Linked DNA regions of Oreochromis niloticus. The protein of the gene in region 1 interacts with the protein of each later gene in a biochemical or structural test. Links are inferred from orthologs where the notes say so. Each region holds a gene or a part of one and is shown on either strand. Other genes may lie near its edges.

Region 1 (11,146 bases):
AGAGATTAGTTTGGGCCAAGAAACACAAGGAATGGACATTAGACCAGTGGAAATCTGTGCTTTGGTCTGATGAGTCCAAATTAGAGATCTTTGGTTCCACCCGCCGTGTCTTTGTGCGACACAGGTGAATGGATGCATTCACAGTGGGAATGCATGGTTCCCACTGTGAAGCACGGAGGAGGAGGTGTGATGGTGTGTGAGTGCTTTGCTGTTGACTCTGATGGGGATCCAGCATGGCTACCACAGCATCCTGCAGCAACATGCCATCTCATCCAGTTTGTGTTTCATTGGACCATCATTTATTTTTCAACAATGACCCCAAACCAACCTCCAGGCTGTGTAAGGGCTATTTGACCAAGAAGGAGAGTGATGGCCTGGCCTCCACAGTCACCTGACCTAAACCCAGTCAAGATGGTTTGGGATGAGATGGATCGCAGAGTGAAGCCAAAAGGACCAAGAAGTGCTCAGCATCTCTGGGAACTCCTTCAAGACTAGTGGAAAACCATTTCAGGCGACTACCTCATGAAGCTCATCTAGAGAATGCCAAGAGTGTGCAAAGCAGTAATCAAAGCAAAGGTTGGCTATTTGGAAGGATCTAAAATATAAAACATGCTTTAAGTTGTTTACTACATAATTCCATATGTGTTCATTCATAGTTTTGATGCCTTCAGTGAGAATCTACAATGTAAACAGTCATGAAAATAAAGAAAAACCATTAAATGAGAAGGTGTCCAAACTTTTGACTGGTGGTATAAATGGGCATCATAATCTGATTTCATACAGCATACCCATCAATTTAACATTGCTAAAGTCAGCTATATTTATAAAGCACATTTCATGTTACTTAACTCAATCAATGTGCTTTAAACAGAAGATAAATCATTAACAGCTCTAAATCTCTCTCTCTCCAAAAATAAAATAAAAAATGTGACCAGCTAAAAAATAAAAACAAACTACAATAAAAGTTATTGCTTAATTCTCTGGAAGAGAAGGCTTTACAAGCTGTCAGACAGTTTTGTTTTTTTTCCTTTAAATGTCACGTTGTCTCTACTTCCCTTTTCTATCACATGACATCTTTAGCACTGGGACTTTTCAATAGCAGTGAGCTCACATTGAACTGAATGCTGTGCCAAGAACAACAGAAACATCCAAAAATAAGTCTCCTCACCTTGGTGAGCTCTAAGGAGATAGCAGCTGCCATCTTCCCTCCATATGACTCAGAGAAAATGTAGAAGGCGATGCTCTGAAAAGAACAGAACAGTACACTTTAGGTCCTTTAATATTAATGTGTTTTGGAGTCACTTCAGTGTTTAGACAACGTTTGATGAGCCCATCTTTCTGACAAACAGGCAAAAAAATGCAATAATGGACATACCTGGAACTCAGGCTTTTCTGAGAAAAAGTGTTTGAGCAGCACCAGCATGTCTGAGGCCACGGTGGACACATTGGTAGCATAGGCACCTGGCCTGTCTGTGTAGCTAAAGCCAGTGCCCACAGGGTTATCTACAAATAACAAATTGGCTGCCTGGACCTAAAGGTGACACACACACACACACACACACACACACACACACACACACACACACACACACACACTACATGTCAGCATGCTAATCTGCATTTTTATTCATTTATACTTTCTTTGAAGAACTCTTCAGTTACAATAAATCTTTACCCAGCTTGTTTTTCTGGGCTCTAGATCTCTGTTCAAGGGTCCAATTTCCTCAAAGTTGCCAAAGCCAGTTCCAGATCCTCCTGGGCCACCCTAAAACACACACACACAGGTAAACATTGTTATATTTGCCATTTAGCTCGGCACAAGCCACATTCGTATTAAATGAGCCATTAAAGTACACGTCTCTATTACTGTTTGTTTGTTTTTGGTGGCAGGGGGTGGGATCAGAAAAATAATGCAATACAATGTCACAAGGTAGAAAGTTTAAAATTAGACCAGAGTTGTTCCTCTTTTGTAGTTAGAAGTAAAAACAACACTGCCATTACTCACTCTTACCACCTCTCCTACAGTCTAAGCACCATTCCATTTTTAACCAAAGGCCTGATCATTTGATCAGACGGGGACACAATCTGTGAACATCACAACTTCCTGCAGACATCACTGTACAGGAAGATGGAATGGTAGCATGATGCTGCACATGTTTGATTGATTGATTGATTGATTGATTGATATACCTTTATTAGTCCCACAAGGGGGAAATTTCATAAGGCTGCCAACCTATTGCACGCAATGGCGGCGCCATCTTACCCTCCGACCATACATACATTACACAAAACATCACATGGGGAAGACAGGTCAGAGAGGTATAACATGGAAAAGCACAACATGAGGAAAGATAAGGAGAAAAAAATAACTCCCCCCAGACTGAGCTCCAACAGGGAGATCAGTTTGGGAACAGAAAAAAACACCTCTGCACATAGCACATGAAAAAACTCTTAATACACCAAAGAAACACATGACAAGCAACAGGGGCGGGTAAAGGGTGAGAGACAGCCGATTTAGACAGTACATCCGGGCCTGCAGCCTATGCGCTGGTCTCCATGATCCACCGTCAGCATCGGAAGGGAATAAGCGTCGAAGGCGTTTGGAAAGGGAGGGGGGATGAGTGTGTGCATATCAGTGTATATGTATGTGTGTGCGTGTCCAGAGTTCAGCTGAGACAGTGTCCTTCGCCCTGCCAGGCTAAGTAAACAGTCTTCCAGCCAACCCAGGTGGCCTTGCATAGAATAGGAAGGAACAGACTAAACACAGTCTGTAATCAGGGTGTTGTTGTACAGCTCCAGCCTTGCAACCGCAGCTGGCGCCGAGAAGGTATCCGCATGAAGTGAAGGTGCTTTTTACTTTAGTGCAAACAGCTTATATGAATTTCAAAGCAGTTCTACAGTCCAACACTGGTCTCTCAATCTCCCGATGGAGAGCCGCGAGCTTCGCGTTCTGTGATGTTGTCATTCTTGTGCTCAAGGAGCCGATTCTGAAAAACTCACGACAGTGTGCCTCCCCGAGATGTCATCCAATTTACGCTCAGAGATGTTATGCCGAGCGAGCCCTTCCGAGATGTAATCCAGTCTGCACTCAGAGATCTTATTCTGAGTATTCACAGCAGCCGTAGCCTTTCCAAGATCTTATCTGTGCTGCACTCAATGAGCCCATTTTGAGAAACTCACGCCTCGTCCCATCGCTTCAATCCCAGCGGGCAGCCTTGTGGAGGTTTGAACAGCCGGTTCCGCTTTGAGAATGCAACCATGCATGTGCTCGATTTGTCACAGCCCTAACTATTCAATCAGTATTTAATACAATGGGCAAGACAGACATTTGATATGGGATGAGAATCACTAAATAAGACATAAATACTTGAAGCATTATTAGTTTTGTGGACTTTTGTTCCCCCTCAGAAACATACAGAGAAGACTGACCCCCACTTTCCAGTCTTACTCCAACTAATAGTTGAAAGCTTGAGTGTCTGGGGATGGATCACTCTCTGTGTCCAGTACAAAAAACTTCTGCATGCTTTAACTTGAATGAACTACAAAAATATATAAGACCCTACAGACCGTGTTCAACAGGTATTATAGGTACAGACTGTAGACAGCCTACTGCCTAAATGAAAAACAACTTTTTAAGCTGTCAGCATAAGGTCGTGGTTGACAATTCGGGGGAAGTTGCAGGCAAAGTTAGTAATTCACAGTTTAAATTCCTATTTAGGCAATTAATTTATTTGTGTAAAAAGAAAATCTCACTGACAATTTATTTGGTCTAAACGTAATCGGACTGATACTAAACAACTAAACACGCGTAAAATATTCGTAAATGGGACGAATCTGGAGTTTGATTAAAATGCTGACATCACTGGAAGCCCAGTTAAGGTGGAAAACAAAAATCATGACGTCCTACCTGCAGCCACATGACCAGAGGCAGGTCCTTGTACTGGGCTTGTACACTGTCAGCATAATAGAGCCACCAGAACATGTGGGCCCCGTCTCTCACCTCCACATAGTTCCAGGCTTCTTTGCTCGCCAGAGCAGAGGGGAGCCCTGCGCAGAATTCAATCACATCCACTTTGTTAACTTGGTGTTCGGTTACAGTGTGACAGTGTTACATCGTCATTCTACTAGAAACAATAAACCAGTCTGTAATGAGCGATCAAAACGTTACTTTCGTTTTGAAGTCAAAGCGAGAGGTAGGAAAACCGAGAAGAAGTCTGTAAGAGCCTCGTCCACAGTGCGGATATCTTACCTTTGGACAGCACAACGCTGAGTAAGAAACACAAAGTAAAGTCTACTCGGAAGGAACCCATCGTTAAAGTGTCTAGCTGCAAAGGGTCCGCATAATTTCAACTGCAACGAGAAGTCACATGACCAAACCCGTGGTCAGCTGACCGACACTTTTTTTTAATATTGCGTCACAAAGTAAAGTTAGAATAACCTCAGAGCACTGGAAAGAGTAAAGTGACTTAAGGGCTCTGAAAAACCTCAATGAACATCAAAAGAAAAGAAGAAAAGACGATGAGTTTGATCTAACATTCATTTCAAATCCCAGAAACATATTTATCCCCAAGGGGCAATTAACAATTAAAACAGGCAGAACACTGACATAAAGCATCAATACAAATGCACACAGTTCAGACAAAGTGAGCACTTCAGTTATAAAAGAAACGGCAAGGAGGCTATTTAATACAGAGGTAGGAAAGGCTCAGAGTTCAGGTGCAGAACTGCTGTAGGGATAAAAGTGACTCTCCTACTCTGTGTCCTACAGAGACATACACGCTGATAATGGTTTGAACCATTTTAGATTTGACTTGTTTCCCCTCATTTTCAATCCAGTTTTTGTGTACTGTGACATACTGCAGCCTTTCCATCCTGTACCCTTCCTTAGGAATGGCTTACAGCGACCTTTTCATTCAGACCATTTCCGACAAGAGTTTGGCAAGAATAGATGGATCAAGGTCTTAATATGTCTATTTTTTATTTTTCCAGGTCTCGCTGGATTTTTCCTATTTCTAGCAGACATGGATTCCAGAAACTGGTCATCTGATGTAGACAGTGTTCTAGGCTTGCCACTTCTTCTTTGGTCCTAATTTTTTTCTTTTTCGTTTTTTAAGGAAAATCTGATAACCATGCTGATATAAGTTGTCTATTATGTGTAGACAGACCAGTGGTTCAACCCGTTAGTTAAGTGCCTTTTTAATGCTTGAATGAGTCATAAAGTCAGTTTTAAGGACTTTAACAAAAAAAAAATCCCAAGAAGAATGAAGATAAGCTTTTATTCAAGTCATTTTTTAGTTACGTTTGAGTTTAGTTTCAATTAACGACAAGAGCCTCTGGTGAATATTTGTCGATCATTTGGCTGCGATGGAGCTCTGTAATAATTCAGTCCTTCCTCCACGCCAGCAGAGGTCAATATTGCAAACGAGGGTCTTGACAGCGCCAAACACGTGCGCCTCACTTCCGTTGAAAACTGATAATTTAAATAAAAGTCATACGAATACGTTTCTTTTCTCAAAAAATCGACCTAAAATAAGGAAATAATAAATACTTTATTTCTCCCATATTTAGGAAATAATTTTACAGCAGGAAATAATTTCACAGCAGTTGAAATAAAATACAATAAAATAATAGTAAAATATACACTCGGTAAATTAGCATTTTATTTAGTGTATTCAGTATGGAAAGCCGAATTGTCATGCTAAGCTGTAATCAATGTTTAATTAAACAAATATTCACCTGTTGTAAAAAAAAAAAAAAGTTTAAAGAATGTCTTTATTTTCTTTATTATGATAAGTTAATATGATATGGGTATAGTTGTCATTAAAAAGTTATTATTACTATAATACTCTTTTCTTTGAATAGGGAAAGGAAATACGTTTGGGTTTGAACTCTTATTTTGAAGAGCCTGGGCGGAAGTGTCGTCTTTGAGCTTGCAGAGGGAGTACGACAGCCGGTGTTTTGGTACTGTAGCCGTCATGGCTGCCCACAGTAATAACTTTATCCGACTGCGCCTGTACTTTGACTACCCGCCGCCGGCTGTCGTCGGTTGCCGCATGTGCTGGCTGCTCGTAGACCTAAACGTGTGTCGCGTGGTGGCCGACCTGGAGAGCGTCATCAGGGAGAAGTTTGAATTCAGCGGCGGGAGCATCCTCAGCCTGTTCATAGAAGACTGCTACCTGCCGCACACGGAGAGCATCTACGTGGTGCGAGACAACGACAGCGTCAGGTGCGCGTGTTTTGTTAGTTGTAACTTTCAAAGCGCTGACAGATCCTGGCATATGTAATACGAGTTATTTAGTTACAGCATGTCTCTAAACACTCAGCTCAGTACCATGTGGACGCTGCTTGGTATTCCCGAAGCCTTCCTCTGGGTGGTATGAACAAAAAACTGGATCATGGCGCGGTATATCATAATTTTTTAGACCCTTTGTCGTCATATAAGTACGGAGCCCCTCTGATGACATGGTCCAAAAAATAAATAAATTGTGGCCACAAAATACTACTTCGTGCCCTCGAAATAGTATAACGTGCCCACGAAATACTTATTTGTGGCCACGAAATACTATTTCGAGGGCACGAAATAGGTATAACGTGCGCACGAAATGCTCATTTGTGGGCACAAATTGGGTATAACATGGCAACGAATTACGCATTTGTGGCAACGAAATAGATAACGTGCGCACATCATATTGATACAACTCCTGGACAGCTGCGTAGAGACATAAGCATAAGAGTAGGCTAAACCTATACACCATGGACAGAGACAGTATGATTGAGTTTTGTTTTAGGCTGGGAATGAGCTACAAATGCATTTTGAAAAGCCTGGCAATGCAAGGAACCATTATTACGGAGAGACATTTAAACAGTATATTGAGAGCCCAGTTGCTTTACAGACGTAAGTACGACCTGGACACCGGGATAGATTTTATTGTCAACCAACTGCAAGGGCCTGGGAAGGATCACGGTTATCGGTCAAGTGTTTCGTGCCCACAAATTAGCATTTCGTGCACACGTTATACCCATTTCGTGCCCACGAAGTAGTGTTTTGTGGCCACAATTTATTTATTTTTTGGACCATGTCATCAGAGGGGCTCCGTATATAAGAGAAACAAGAACGTTAATAAAATTTAACCAAAACATCCTTTCAGTGTTATCTATTCTTAGGCTTTGTTTGCGAAAATGAGATACGCGTATTTGGCACAGGGCAATTGAGTGAAGTGTGGATTTGAAACTTCACGAAGACTTCATTTTTCGAACTTTGTGGCACCACTTATTCTCTTGGCACCCCAGAGTCTTGAGTCTGTACTAATTTGCGCCTAATTTGAAGTATGCACCTATGTAAGATACTTCAAATGACCAACACACCTAAAGTTTGTTAAGTTTAAGTCTTAACATAAGGAACACAATATTTAAATTCACACATATTCATTTTGTTAGTTCAAAAGCTACAACATACAATGCTGTATGCTTTACAACAGTCAGTTTTTCAGTATTCTGCACTGTCGTCTGACAGTGAGACAGTTCTGGGGTTCAGATCTGTGTGGGTTTCCTCTCACAACCCAGAGATCTGCATGTTGGGCGAACTGCTGATTCTAAATCATGTGTAGGTTTAAATGTGCTTTTGTGGTTGCCTGCTGTTTCTCAGTGTTAGCCCTGTGTCATCAAGAGTGTGTCTCAACTTAAGGTTCCAACTTCCTGTAAGGGTTGGATAACTAGGTAAGTAAACAGGTTTGATGTCATTTGTGTCATCTGTCCGTCTGTGAGAAGCAGGGTACACCCTGGATAGTTTGCCAGTGTGTTGCGGGGCTAACACGGTGAGACAGACACGCATTCACACGGACATTCACACCTACAACCAATTTAGAATCAGTGTGGGAGGAGGCTGGAGTACCCAGTGAGAAATGGGCACAGTTAACATACAGAGATACTGAGTCAGGCTCTCTCAAATTAATATATACTCCCACAGTATATATTTGCCTTGAGAGGTGCCTGAATTCTTTGTTCCATAGATTTAACATGGTACTAGAAAGCATCATGCAGTTCCTGCAGATTTCCCACACTACCACACGTCTCAGTCCAATAAGTCACCTTTAAAGGTGACTTATTGGACTGAGATCTTGAGTCTGAGGGTCATTTGAGTGCACTGCCAACTTCATCAAGAACTAACCCAGAGCTTTCAGCAGCATCTCCCAGTCTACAAGAAATTGACCTTTTTTTGTGTGGAGTAAATTTGGCATAATAAATCCATTCGTATAATGTTCAACTCTTCCTTTAAGATATGTTCTGTTTTTGTGTTAGGGTGAAGGTGAGCTGGATGAATGAGTTGAATGGATACAGCAGTCATCCAGATGCAGCAAGTGAAAGCGGCAGAAAGAGACGGCGAGCCACAGAAGACACTGTGCCAGAAGAAAATGGAGTGAGTGTCGAATGGAAGAAGAAAAAGAGGAAGAAAAATAACGAGGACAGAATGACAGACGGTGCCAACCTAGTGGCAAGTGATGACCAGAATAAGAATGTACAAGGAAAACCCACAGAGAAGAAAGAGAAGAAGAAAAAGAAGCCAAAGGAAAAAGGTGCTCTTGCTTCTCCCAAACCAGCTGATTTTCGAAAAAAGGTTACTGCTACCGTCAGCCAGCCGAGTAAAAGCACCAAGAAGCTCCAAGCATCAAAACCAAAACCACAAAAAGCCTCCTCTTCAGATTCCAGTTGTAGCAGCAGTGATGAAGATGTCGTACCCAAAAAAACAACAAAAGCACCCACCTCCACTCCTGCTCCCTCCAAGGTCCCATCAAACACAAAACCTGCCCCCAAAAAACCTCCACTGTCATCGTCATCCTCTTCAGAAACAGAGTCTTCTTCTGATGAGGCTGCCAGTGTCAAAATCCAGCCCAGAAACAAACCTTTAAAATCCACGGCTGCCAACTCAGAATCAAGTCGGTCTCCTTCAGCTCCGCAGCCTACAAACGATAATCCGGAACAAACCGCCAGCATAGCGGAGTCGTCTCATACAGCAGCAAAGGGTGCCAACTCGGACAGTGAAGACGAGATCCAGCTGGTGATACGGAGGCCACTGCAGCAGCCCAGAGGTGGCATAGGTATTCAGTTTCCTTGGCGAGGTGGCTGCAGAGGGAAAGCCAGATGTGGCGGTGGTCAGGGAGCAAGTGTTAGGGGTGGAGGTAGAGGAGGAGCAAGCAGAGGGAACAGTAGCAGCTCTGGGTCCAGCTATAATGGAGCCACAGAGCCGTCTTACCAGAATGATTCACTGACCAACACCTCAGTGATCCTCCAGGTTTGTCTGCATCTGAAGCCTAAGATGTAAATGTAATATCTGCTCTTAATTAAAATGAATTAAAAGCCATTCTTGACTTTCTGTCTCCATTTATAGAATGAAGCAGTAAGTGTACCCAAGCAGGACTACAACTCCATGCCCCTGTTAGCTGCTCCTCCACAGGTGGGGCAGAGGATTGCCTTTAAGGTGGGTGTTGTAAGCTGCAGTCGTCTCCAGGTTAAAAATGAAAGCTATTAGCCCTCATAGTGTTGTTCTAAAGGAGTTTTAGGGCTACACTAAGAAAAAATTACTATTGATGATTTTGAAAATAATCTCATAATTTTTGGGGGGATAATTTTTTGCCTTCTGTAGATGAGTTAGTGAAACAGGCTGATCAGCCGTCTTACAATACAACATACTCCCTCTTTATTGCATGAGGGTGTAGCCATCGATGACCTTGCATCTGTCCGCTGCAAGCCATTTCAGTTTGTACAAATCAGGTCAACTCTTCCAAGTTTGCGTGGCTTTTCCTTCTGATCAGATGCAGCTTTCTGCACCATGTTTTTTCAACATCCTTATCAGCTGTAGTACACTGTTGTAGCTAATATACTGTAGAACACACAAAATTAGCTTAACTTTGGGGCGGGGGAACAGTTATCAAAGATTTTATGTTCAGGTGTAAACTTATGTGAAAAATGAAAATGCTTCACAGACATATAAGCCATGAGTTTATCTTACAGTACAGTATTTTATGTAATGTTTAAATCCACAGTTCTCTAAGCAAATACAGTGTTAGTGAGCCTCTGGGGGTTTTTTTTCTCCCCTGCAACTTTTTAGAGAGAAGTCAAAAAAGCTGCTGTGACTGAATAGCAGTAGTTTGCCCTGCCTAGCTAGAGGCTAGCTCGTTAGCTACAGTGGTTCAAAAGCTAACCACTATGGGTAGTAGTCACTAAGAATTAGGAACCATGTCTTACAAAGATTTTTGTGAACCCATTATTAGCAGCTTTTTATGTTGTTTAAAACTGCTGGAAGCAATTACTGTGTTGCCCATATCTTTGAAGCTGATTGCAGGTCACCTTTGAGTATTTCAGTTGCCTAGGTAACCCACTAATATATTTAAGTAGCTCATATCTCAATCACCAGCGTTTTTTCATAGGTAGTCCTTTAATTGTTCACCTGGAAACAGAGGATTGTTTATCCTGTCCACTTTGCATCACCAGTGGTTATTTTGCCCATAATTGCCTGCAGTTGCTTGTAGCACACACACCTCCCACCTCAGGTCCCAACATGTCTTTTATCCGGGAGCCATGGCTAGATGATGGAGCTCAGGTGTGTGTCAGACTCCACTGACACTGCACCCTGAACCCGCTGCTCCACCCGTCCCCTGCGGCTGAACCACAAACCACACCCTGCCACACTCACATTTTTACAGCTTATTGAAACCAAAGATTTCGGCCATTTCTGCTTCAATTTTATTGGTAAAGATAATAAAATACATCATTTTAGTGTGTAATGCTTAAAGGTCAAAGGTCAGACATCAGTGTGTTCTTATAAAAGCTGGGTAATATTATAATTATCAGGGCATATTGTAATAAAATAAAATAAATACATGGCTGGCTGCTTCATGTCAAATTTCCTTGGGGAAGATACTAAGTTGCTCTCCGATGCATTGTAATAAAAACATCATAAAGCAACACAGTTGTATTACAGCCCTCGCCCTTCGAGGGGAGTTGTGCTCTCAGAGTACTCTTGTTTCCTCTGCCTTACAGCATAAAGCCCCCTTAAAGCGACTGCTGTTGTGATTTGAAGCTATATAAATAAAAATGAAGTGAATTGCATTCACTTCTTAATTCTATGTGTTTATATGCAGCTGCTGGA
Region 2 (12,014 bases), on another chromosome or scaffold:
GCACGGAGCTCCGCCTTTGCCTCCGCGAACACATCGGACTACAAACACGCACATTACCAACTCCGGAAGACGATCAAAGCAGCCAAACATGAGTACAGGGACAGGGTGGAGCAACAGTTTGACAAATGCGACCGCTCTTGACGAAGGCGGTCGCATTTTTCTCCTCTCCTCCTCCTCCTCTCCCTTAGCTTCCCTGCTTAGCCTCTTATGTCCTTGTCTAGTCTTGTGTTTTTTGTATGACTTTTCCCTGGAACAATCTCTCACAGTCTGTTTTCTAAAACCTAAAAGAGGAATTATGGATTTGATCAACTGGTCTCTGAATGCAATTGACACCCCTTTCTTAACGAGAAGTTTGGGCTTGGGTGAGCCTGACTGCTGAAGATTTCTACCTATTCGGAACCATGATAACAGGGTTCTTGCTGATCGGAGCTGGCTTGGCCCTGGCTTATCGAAGAATTAAGGAAGCGGAACCGGCTGTTCAAACCCCCACAAGGCTGCCCGCTGGGATTGAAATGATGGGACGAGGCGTGAGTTTCTCAAAATGGGCTCATTGAGTGCAGCACGGATAAGATCTTGGAAAGGCTACGGCTGCTGTGAATACTCAGAATAAGATCTCTGAGTGCAGACTGGATTACATCTCGGAAGGGCTCGCTCGGCATAACATCTCTGAGCGTAAATTGGATGACATCTCGGGGAGGCACACTGTCGTGAGTTTTTCAGAATCGGCTCCTTGAGCACAAGAATGACAACCTCACAGAACGCAAGTATGGCGAAGCTCGCGGCTCTCCAACGGGAGATTGAGAGACCAGTGTTGGACTGTAGAACTGCTTTGAAATTCATATGAGTTGTTCGCACTAAAGTAAAAAGCACCTTCACTTCATGCGGATACCTTCTCAGCGCCAGCTGCGGTTGCAAGGCTGGAGCTGTACAACAACACCCTGATTACAGACTATGTTTAGTCTGTTCCTTCCTATCCTATGCAAGGCCACCTGGGTTGGCTGGAAGACTGTTTACTTAGCCTGGCAGGGCGAAGGACACTGTCTCAGCTGAACTCTGGACACGCACACACATACATATACACTGATATGCACACACTCATCCCCCCTCCCTTTCCAAACGCCTTCGACGCTTATTCCCTTCCGATGCTGACGGTGGATCATGGAGACCAGCGCATAGGCTGCAGGCCCGGATGTACTGTCTACATTGGCTGTCTCTCACCCTTTACCCACCCCTGTTGCTTGTCATGTGTTTCTTTGGTGTATTAAGAGTTTTTTCATGTGCAGAGGTGTTTTTTTCTGTTCTCAAACTGATCTCCCTGTTGGAGCTCAGTCTGGGGGGAGTTATTTTTTTCTCCTTATCTTTCCTCATGTTGTGCTTTTCCATGTATACCTCTCTGACCTGTCTTCCCCATGTGATGTTTTGTGTAATGTATGTATGGTCGGAGGGTAAGATGGCGCCGCCATTGCGTGCAATAGGTCGGCAGCCTTATGAAATTTCCCCCTTGTGGGACTAATAAAGGTATATCAATTCAATCAATCAATTCAATTCAATTCAACCCTCGGAGTATGTGGCAGGGACTAAACACAATCGCAGACTTTAGAGGGAAAACCAGCACACCGCAGACCACGGCCTCTCTGTGTGAGGATCTAAACGTATTCTACACTAGATTCAACACAGCGAACACCATGAGACCGGACAGTGTGCGCACCGCGGATGACGTCAGTGCACACACTGTGTCTGAGGAGGATGTGCGGAAGTGCTTCAGGAAGGTGAACGCACGCAAAGCTACTGGTCCGGATGGGATCCCCGGCCGCGTCCTCAAGTCATGCGCGGCTCAGCTGGCTGGAGTGTTTACACACATCTTCAACCTTTCCCTCTCTCTGTCTGTAGTCCCAGCCTGCTTCTAAATGGCCACCATCGTCCCTGTACCCAAATCCTCCACCATCTCATCATTGAACGACTGGCGACTTGTAGCCCTGACCCCCATCGTGAGCAAATGCTTCGAGAAGCTGATCAGGGATTTTGTTTGCTCTTCACTACCCAACTCACTGGACCCTCTACAATTCGCATACCACCACAACAGGTCCACTGATGATGCCATAGCCCTGACACTCCATGCTGCCCTGTCACACCTGGAGAAGAGAGACACGTATGTGAGAATGCTGTTTGTAGATTACAGCTCAGCATTCAACACCATCGTTCCCTCGAAGCTGGACAGGAAACTGCAGGATCTAGGACTGAGCAGCTCCCTCTGCAGCTGGATCCTTAACTTCCTGACTGACAGATGCCAAGTAGTCAGACTGGGCAGCATCACCTCATCCCCCATCACACTGAACACTGGTGCTCCACAGGGGTGTGTACTGAGCCCTCTCCTGTACTCACTCTACACCTACGACTGCACGGCCACTAGAAACTCCAACATCATTGTGAAGTTTGCGGACGACACTACAGTGGTGGGTCTTATCACCAACGGTGATGAGACGGCCTACAGGGAGGAGGTCAGCGCCCTGACCCACTGGTGTCAAGACAACCATCTCACCCTCAACGTCGCAAAGACAAAGGAGTTGATAGTGGACTTCCGGAGGTGCAGAGAAGTACACACCCCCATCACCATCAACGGCGCTGCTGTGGAGAGAGTGAGCAGCTTCCGCTTCCTTGGTGTACATCTGGCTGAGGATCTTACGTGGTCGGTACACACAAACAAAACAGTGAAGAAGGCGCAGCAGCGCCTCTTCTTTCTCAGGAGACTGAAAAGATTCGGCATGAGCCCCCGCATCCTCAGGACCTTCTATCGCTGTGCCATTGAGAGCATCCTCACTGGATGCATCACCACCTGGTACGGCAACAGCACCGCCTACAACCGCAAAGCTCTCCAGAGAGTAGTGCGGTGTGCTGAACGGATAATTGGAGGTGAGCTTCCCTCCCTCCAAGACATCTACAGGAAGCGGTGCCTGAGGAAAGCGGGGAGGATCATCAAGGACTCCAGTCACCCCAGCCATAAACTGTTCAGACTACTTCCATCAGGAAGGAGGTTCTGCAGCATCCGGTCCCGTACCAGCAGACTGAGAGACAGCTTTTTCCACCAGGCCATCAGACTGCTGAACACGTCATAGACACCTCACCCACATTCAACAACATTATGCACTCCATACTGTATATAAATGCCACTTGTTTTGTACATGTCTCAACTACCAACCTCTGTATATTTTATATATTTTATTTTATTGTTTAATCTATTTAATTTGTAAAATATGTATACACACACACACACACACACACACATGTAGAAAAACATATTTAGTATACACATCCAGTAATGGATATACTCTTATATTGTACATATATTTATTACTCTCAGATTTAGCCATTCTTATATTTTGCTTGTTCTTATGTTATTGTATTTTTGCACAACTCTGTTGCTTGTGAAGCTCGCACACAAGAATTTCACTCGCATGTACTGTACCAGTGTACCTGCACATGTGACGTGACAATAAAAGTGATTTGATTTGATTTGACTAGTAGAAAGAACAGTCAGACGAGGCTGCAAGACTAGGCTGACCAACCTGTGCTCTGCCTGGATTGATTACAAGAAGGCCTATGACTCCTCACACCTGGATCCTGGAATGCCTTCATCAGGAACTCAATGGGGATGTGACAACACTTGAGGCCAACTTCAAGCCCATAGCAGTTAGGACTGCTGCACTTCTCCACACAGGGAACTAGCAGCACTAGCAGCAGTAGCTTCTTCAGCCTGTGAGCACTTGTTACTAGTTGTTGCTGTTACTACTGTTGACGATGCAGCAGCCACGACAGATAACAAGTCACTTAATTAGACACATTTTGCTGCATCTTTTTGTAGTTTTGTCTTCTCTCTTAGCTTTTTAGTGCCACCTTTTCATTTTTGTTTGTTCATCTTTATCATCCACTTCTTCCACAGTAAAGTCTGCTATACAGGCACATAATGAAAGTAGGGGAGAGGTATTAAGACTTTTGATTGGGCGATACAGTGTCAGTAATGAAATCAATGAATGCTCTTCTTAACCAAGGAAATATGACTTTTTCCCTTCTGTTTCTCCCAGATGCCTTGCTATGATGAAGCAGTACTGGTGTAGCTGGATGTGTGGGACACAACATTATGGTGCATGGAGACAAAAGCATATATATTTAATCACTTAGGTGTAAATATATACAATCTGAACTATGAACTGCACGGCCTGTGTTTTACTCTAATATATCTGCAGTGCCTATAAACTGGGTGTGGTGAAGATGTTTTCATTATTATAAAGACAAAAAGTGATTTTGCATGACCTTTTACTGACTTAAGCAATCACAAAACTCATGGTTCTACACCTTAGGGAGTTATTGACTGCAAAGTATTACACACAAGCCCTAACATTGAACTGTTGTTGTTTTTTCCAAATACTTTTGAGGATCTGAAAATGCGGTGCTATGTATAAAAATGATGACAACACCTCAACATCAAGGTAAAAGTCTATACTTTACAAAATTAAATAAATTTACAGAATGTGTGTTTTTTTCCAAAAGCCTTCAGACTTAACTAAATGGCACAATAAGACATATTAGTCCATGGTTTGATAATAAAACAATAAGAAATTAATAACACAGCTCTGATAGTTGATCATGTACTGAAGACCTGCCCAATCGAGGATAAGCAGAAGATAATGGATGAATGGATGATGGTTCCACATTTTAAAAAAAAAGGCATTTTCTGTAAATTAACAAAAACTTTCTGCTTTATATTTACAGGACAGTCTGAGCTATCGGATCATATTTATTTATTAGAACTGAACCCACAGGAGTCATGTTGGCAGATTTCTTTCATGTACTGCAGCAGAAATGCAGAACATAGACTTGCTGTTGAAAACTTTTTCTTATATTAAGACATGTTTAAAATATTTTTATATTATATCTTTCATATATTAAGATATCGCAGGGATTAAATGTGTATTTAAACTTCTTTACAATAAACAAAAAGGACAGTTCAACGTGGGCCGTATGTGGCCTACATCGCTGTTCACACAGTAGTGAAGCAGCGACTTCCCCCGCTCCAGGTCATCCGTCGGCTCTTTGTTACTCTTTGTTACTTCGGAAACATGGCTTGAACAATTTCTCTTCCACGACGTAATCCGATAAAAAACAATCTCTTTACCCGTTGGCTTCCCATGGCTGTCATGCGACCGGCTATTGCAGTTAATAATACAACAGCTTCTTGCCATTTTTTGTGTTTTGTGACTGTTTTCATGTGAAAGCCTGCGTGCGCTAGTACCGCTTGCCTAGCATTCCCAGAATCCTTTGCGGTTTCACCCCGGAATGACGTCACATTTTCAATCTCATTGAAAATGTGTTTTCATGTGTTTTCACTGACGTCACATTTTCAATCTCATTGAAAATGTGTTTTCATGTGTTTTCACTGACGTCACATTTTCAATCTCATTGAAAATGTGTTTTCATGTGTTTTGCACCCTCTATCACCCTGGGTCAGACCGAGTTTAAAGCTGCTACCACAGCCAGATTTGATCGGTTAAGAGAGAGAGCGATATCAAAACAGCCACGAAACGTCCCGCATATATGTGCCCAAGGGTTGTATTGAAGCAATCAAGTGATGAATAACTGTTTTCCAGTATGTTGTTTTGCATTGTTGTTTTTCACCGAAACAGCTAATAAAGCATGATGGATTTTTACAATTTTGCCTCCTTCTTGTAAGATTCTATAATAGAATGAAACAATAATGCCAGTTAGAAATAAAGACAATAAATTGAATGAATTACGAAACACTCATGTTATTTCTATTAGATCTGAAAATGTTGTGTAATACTACAACCTGAAACAACAAATAGATGCGTTTGCCTGTACAGGAGATAAAGGAAAAGAATGTAACAACAGCTGTGAAATGGAATAGTCCAAATCACCAAAGTAAACTGGACCTGGGCTTGTTGCAGGGATCTGAGTTACTAAACATCATGTGAGTGTCTGCACTCACACTTAGGACCATATAATAATAAATATGTGCGTGATGAAAGTTGGGCAGCACGCTGACGTCCTTACTCCGCTCTGTATGCTGGTACGGGTCTGACCCTTTCACTCCTTTGATTTTTTCCTCGTCCTTTTTTTTGTTGTTGTCTTTTCGTCAAGTCTGTCTTTGTACGGACCTGCCGTGTTCTCCCTCGTTTTGTACATAACTGTTTTTGGGGCAAATAAAATGCTAGTAGGGATTAAAACCGCAGAATTAATGATTACCGGTGCTGGAAATGCTACCGCTTGATGCAGTGTTTTGATTTTGTTGCCACGGGTACCCAACATGCAATGCGCGAAAGTCACGTGGTCTGTCAATCTCTATAAAATAGCGCGGTACGGTGACGTAACTTCCTGACCGGTAGTTTTGCGGGAAGTTTGGTCCATGCACAGTTTCTGCTACAGGGAAGCATAAACAACGAAGTGACGGTATGTTTTTGTCATAGATGTATATATCTGTATACTAACGGAACCAATCACAGGTACTCGGGTACAGCGTTTGCTGTTGGACGGCGTCATGTAGCAGATCATGTAGGCGCTAATGTGACACACGGTTACTCACAAAACCACGCAGTTAGCATGAGAGCTAACGAGCCTCGAAAGAACCGCTAAAGGTGCAGGATTCGCACGACGCCATCACTTTACTGTTTCTCTTTCTGTTGGTTTTAACCCACATGCTAACAGGCGGTTCGTGTTAGGGAAGTGTCTCGTATAGGCTGCACACATTAGCAGGTGATGGGGAACTCGGGATGTGGTTAGCTAACTTCGGTACAGATAAAAACATAGTTCTAATGTGACCCAAAAAGTACAATTTTCCATTTCTTGTTGTGTTTACAACGATGTTTAGCTTAGTTTTATTTTGGAGTTCTGCTTCCATCACGATGAAGCAGCACTAACAACCACCGTGGCTGTGTGTGTGTTAGATGCCCCCTAAAGCCAAGGCGGCAGGCAGAGGCAGAGCCCCTGCCAAGAGGAAACTGGCAGAGGAGTTTCCTCCTGGAGAAGTGCTGAAGGACACCATGAAGAAGGAATGGAAGCTGGGGGCTCCGATCGGTCAAGGGGGCTTTGGTGTCATATACTTGGGTAAGAACACAGGATGCTAGTGACACAGTCATGGTAAAATAAAAGACAATGTTATTTGTATTTTAGTTCTAGTTAACATCTGAGTTTGAGTTGCAAACTTTATATTTAATAGAAGTTAATAAAGATTTTAAGCATGTGTCAACCAAATACTGTAAATAATGAACATATTCCCTCTTATGTTTTCCCCAGCGGAGGAAAATTCTGCAAAGCCTGTGGGTGCTGATGCTCGCTATGTCATCAAAGTGGTAGGACTAAGTTTGTTCCAGTCCAGGCATTATTACTCTTTACATACTTTTTTCTTTATTCACAGAAAAGTAGCTACAAAAGCCAACTCAACCTGAAGTACTTTGTATTTTATGACATATCAATTTTTATTCTATAACACTTCCACCTTAGTTAAGCCCATCAAAAGTTAAGACTTAATTGGCAACATAAGTTCATTGGATTAAGTCCAGAAATAATTCACATACTGACAGGACTTGTTTGACTTGCTTTTCTGCTCGAATGTGCAGACTCATCAGGCTCAAAGTCTCTCCCATTTGACTCTCTGAGAATTGTCTGATTTATTTATTTGTTCACTAACTGCAGTGATGCAGCCAGCACAGCATATATATTGAGGCCTTGACCCTGGACCTGTCAGATGGCTCTGTCCAGTTGCTGGTCACTAAAGTCTCACCAGAAGTGATCACAGTGCAAACGTTGCAGCCAATAAGGCACTTTCTGCACTGTGACTGTTTCCCTGTTTCTATTCTTAAGGAGGAGAAACGGGGAGGAAAAGCGTGGGGATGCCACATTACCCAACATCTGAACTGAAAATCAGTGGCAACATTTGAGGGAGCGATGAATCCTAATTTTACGTTTTTTGGTTCAAATCGTTGTCGAGATGTGAGGAGAGACCGGACAGAAAAGCGCCGTCAGATCCACTGTGCTGTAGCCCACTGCAGGCTCACATCTGCACGCTGCAGGTGTTGCTGTTAAAAAGTGACGTGATGGCTGTTGTGGGCCAAATGTAAAGGTCTTCCTATACAGTGTTTATTCTAACTTTAACTCTAATTATTTGTGCTGTCACTGTCTGAAACAAACTGTGGATGGAAGCTATTCAACATTTTTATTGAATATTTTAAATATTTTTATTCAAACTGCAGCACGACCGATTGGTGGGGCTGCCCTGCTCCTAACTGTCAGAGATGTAACAGTCTGTGAACCTGGATTTAAACACACAAACACATAAACACACAACCAGTTTTTGCAGTTTTGTTTGTTTGTTTGTTTGTTTGTTTGTTTTTTAAATGTTTAAACAGAAGAAAATTGTGTTTCGTTTTTTTTCCTGCCTGTTAAGGGTGAAAACAACAACCCAGTGTGCTGTTGTGGGTCTGCAGACCTAATGTACCTGTTGTTCTGTCCACAGGAGCCTATTGACAATGGACCGCTTTTCTGCGAGCTCGCATTTTACATGAGAGCTGCCAAGCCGGATCTCAGTGAGTCACATGATCAGACACTATAAATACACTCATACTGTCAGCAAACCAAAGTTAGCCCTGCGATCATAACACAAGAGTCTCACCAGCAGGGCAAACAAATAAAAAGAGAGGCAAGTTTCTTAATTAAAAGATGGTGTTGTAGCCGGGGCTCAGAGGAGCCCTACAAAGGAAAGGAAGCGTTTGGTGGCAGCGCCGCCGGCCCTCGGGCCACCGCTTTGCATTTTATATAATAACAATCCAAATGTCAGTCTCCCCTGACGATTAACTGTTATATGACTAAGGAACCAAAGCCTCATATTTTATTCATGCTGGAGTCTCACGTTGTTGGTAAATATTTGTCCCAGCAGCAGATTAGCTCGCGGCCATATTGGCCACTTTCCCCCACTGAATTATACTCTTATTACTTTGAGTCTCACATCCATCACCCACTTAAACCAGCACCAGGCTTTTCAGAGTTTACTTCCTGTGTTGTTGATTTCATGTATGCACACATTAAAAGCTCACTTTAGTCAAATATGTACGTGTCTGATAAGTTTACTCTTGCCCTGCAGTTCAGAGTTGGATGAAGTCCAAGAAGCTGAAAAACCTGGGCGTGCCCCGGTACTGGGGCTCAGGTCGACATGAGAGAGGGGGTCAAAGGTAAGGGTGGGAGTGCTGGGGACAAATCTCAGTTTGTAATGATGCAGCCCATCTCTCCTCCATCTATGTGACATTCAGTTGTTCAGGTTCTTCTTTTGTTGACATGTGAGAAATGTGTTCAAACTACAGACTCAGCAGTTATATTTGGTGCAAGCAGCTCGAGCTGTGCATCAACTCTGTGTTTGACCTTTCCTCCATGATGTTTGCATGTTGCACATTGGATGGAGTCACATGGCTACACACGCAGTTTTAAAGGAGAGGTGGGCATGATTACGCTGATTAGAGCTTCTGTTTTCCCTGCCCAGCTCAGGTCTCTGCCTTTTATAACAGACCTCACTCTGACTCATTCAGTGGATTACTTTGGCACTGCCTGATACCATGTAGTGGTTCTCAGTAGTAGCACTTATTACTGGTTTCATAAGGGAGCCCCCCCCCCCCCCCCCCCGTGGCCTAATAAGGCATCAGCTTTGGTCCCGCCTGGGTCACATAGTTAGCGCTATCGTCAGCCCTTCCATCACACCTCCTGACTTCCTCTGTGCACTTATGTAACTCAGATATTTAAGCTAATCTCCCTGTTTACACCTTTTACAACTAACTTTTTAATATTTTATTAATTTTTTTTGTGTGTTAATGTCTTAATGGAAGCTAGATAAACCAAAACACCAAATAAGAAGTAAAGTGAAACAGCTTTGTTGTCCTCACAGTAACAGGTAAAGCTGCAGCCTTTCTGACGCTCTGCTAACACAGCTCTCTGTACCAACCAGTTACAGGTTCATGGTCATCGACAGACTTGGCACAGACCTGCAGAAGAAATTTGAGGAATGTGGAAGGAGATTTCCCAGAAAGCTGGTCCTGCAGCTCGGCCTTCGACTGGTTGGTTATGTCATGATGAAGTTGTTTCAGTTTGAAACACTTACATTGTAAACAGCAGGTCACGGTGATCACAGGAAAGAGAATGTGTGATGGGGAATGACCAACATCCTGAGGATGAACGTTGTACGCAAACTGAAAATAACTGATGATGAGGATTGAATAACAAGTGGTTTCATCCTCAGAGTTAGTGATGCACAGGGGAGGAAATGGGTTTTCCCAAAAAGAAACAAAAGTGTATTTTCAGTTGTTTTAATGATTGTGGGTCAGAAGCATTCTCCGGTTCATCCTGGAATGATTGTTTCTGCTCAGGTAGAGTTTTAAAGTAAGCTGCTGAAACTGTGTGTGTAATCTGACACCGCTTTACGGAAAAGCGAACGTCATCAGCAGATTTCCTGCACCTGTGCTTCCGATCGAAAATCCTTTGTTTGCCTGAAAATGCCAACAATGAAGTAATTTGTTTACACAGTCCAGTAAGATTTGTCACAATGACACTGGATAGACTGTAAAATAGCCTTTTACTATGACTTTTTCTTGTTAGAAATCCCACGCTGCCTCTTCTTTTATAGGAGCGCGTCTCCCTGTTCGCTCTAGTTTATTAAGATCTATGTGGAGGAAGTGAAACTTTGTTTCTGGTCAGACTCACCTCTGTGCTCTCTGGTGCTCAGCCTGGCTACATTCCCCTCTAAAAATGACAAATGTTTATGTTCTGAAACTGAACGTAATGAATCAAGTTACTGTTAATAAAATCCTTCTAATGTGATCACAGGTTTGGCTTTACGTGACTGCTGCTCAGTGAGGTGATGACGGGCTGAGCAGCTTCTTGTGTGGCCAAACGGCACATTATATTTAAACCATCTAGTGTGATTACTTTGTACTAGGGTCTTGCTACATTACAGATGTATCTGTACTCTGTATTTGATGGAGTATTTGTTTCTGTGCAGCTGGATACTCTGGAGTACATCCACGAGCACGAGTACGTGCACGCTGATGTGAAGGCGTCTAACCTCATGTTGAGTCACAGCGATCCTAACCAGGTCAGTTGGAGTTGTAGCGTGCTGACTGAAACTATGACTGTTTACAAAGTGCCGCTGTGACCCGTGCATCAGCAGGAGGAGGAGCCTGGTTTTGGTTGGAACACACTCGCACCGCTTCATTAGATTCAATTAGGCTTTTGCGACGGGGGGAGGTGAAGCGAGAGTGTTCAGACGGGGGAGATTAGATGGCAGGAGCACAGAGCTGCAAATAAGGTGGGGGCAGGGGCAAATATTTAATTTGGAGATTAATAATGTATCATCGGTGGTGTTATTAAGGAGCTTTTTATAAATGACAATTTAGAAATCAGCCCCTCAGGATTTTAATATTGGCTCTGGTTGTTTTTCCTGCTCTTCCTCGGAGTTGGTGAATGTAGGTTTGCTTTTATTGCTCTACATTTCTTTATTAAAGCCACAGAGAATATAAGCACAATGCAAACTGAGGAATAATAATAAAGTGCTATGGAGCTGGAATTAGAATTGAAATCGTGTGTTCTCCTGCTCTCCTTCATCCTGACCCGTGTCTGTGTACAGTCAGTGAACACTGGTAAAACATGGATTAGTATAAAGTACTGTGTATGTGTGTGCATGCCTGAATCTTTGTGTTTGTCAACTGTAGGTTTACTTAGTAGATTATGGACTGGCCTATAGGTACGCACCTGAAGGTCGGCCCAAGGAGTACAAGGAAGACCCCAAGAAATGTCACGATGGTACCATCGAGTTCACAAGCATCGACTGCCACAAAGGAGCATGTAGGTGCAAACGTACGCGAGTAGTCATGACGCCCAACATGGCGTACAAAACCAGAGTGGTAATCTGAAAGTGTCAGCAGGATCTGGTGTTTTTAACCATGAACAGGAACATCAATGTGAAC

The links.
Region 2: of the proteins of coil (region 1) and vrk1, one has a biochemical effect on the other in vitro, tested with the Homo sapiens proteins (2 studies listed by BioGRID and IntAct, with this or other methods). The link is inferred for Oreochromis niloticus from reciprocal best matches to the Homo sapiens genes COIL and VRK1.

Annotation. Positions count from the first base shown.
Region 1 is NC_031969.2:3,340,169-3,351,314, reverse strand, and holds the start of coil (coilin), read left to right. Parts: upstream 1-5,898; 5' UTR 5,899-5,975; coding exon 5,976-6,226; intron 6,227-8,298; coding exon 8,299-9,289; intron 9,290-9,385; coding exon 9,386-9,475; intron 9,476-11,138; coding exon 11,139-11,146. Other genes in the region: scpep1 (retinoid-inducible serine carboxypeptidase), read right to left, coding at 1,169-1,243, 1,376-1,531, 1,676-1,765, 3,908-4,047, 4,250-4,310. UniProt on the Homo sapiens protein: Component of nuclear coiled bodies, also known as Cajal bodies or CBs, which are involved in the modification and assembly of nucleoplasmic snRNPs.
Region 2 is NC_031983.2:1,343,532-1,355,545, forward strand, and holds the start of vrk1 (serine/threonine-protein kinase VRK1), read left to right. Parts: upstream 1-6,312; 5' UTR 6,313-6,462; intron 6,463-6,956; coding exon 6,957-7,116; intron 7,117-7,305; coding exon 7,306-7,361; intron 7,362-8,524; coding exon 8,525-8,594; intron 8,595-9,148; coding exon 9,149-9,236; intron 9,237-10,000; coding exon 10,001-10,109; intron 10,110-11,050; coding exon 11,051-11,143; intron 11,144-11,759; coding exon 11,760-11,892; intron 11,893-12,014. UniProt on the Homo sapiens protein: Serine/threonine kinase involved in the regulation of key cellular processes including the cell cycle, nuclear condensation, transcription regulation, and DNA damage response.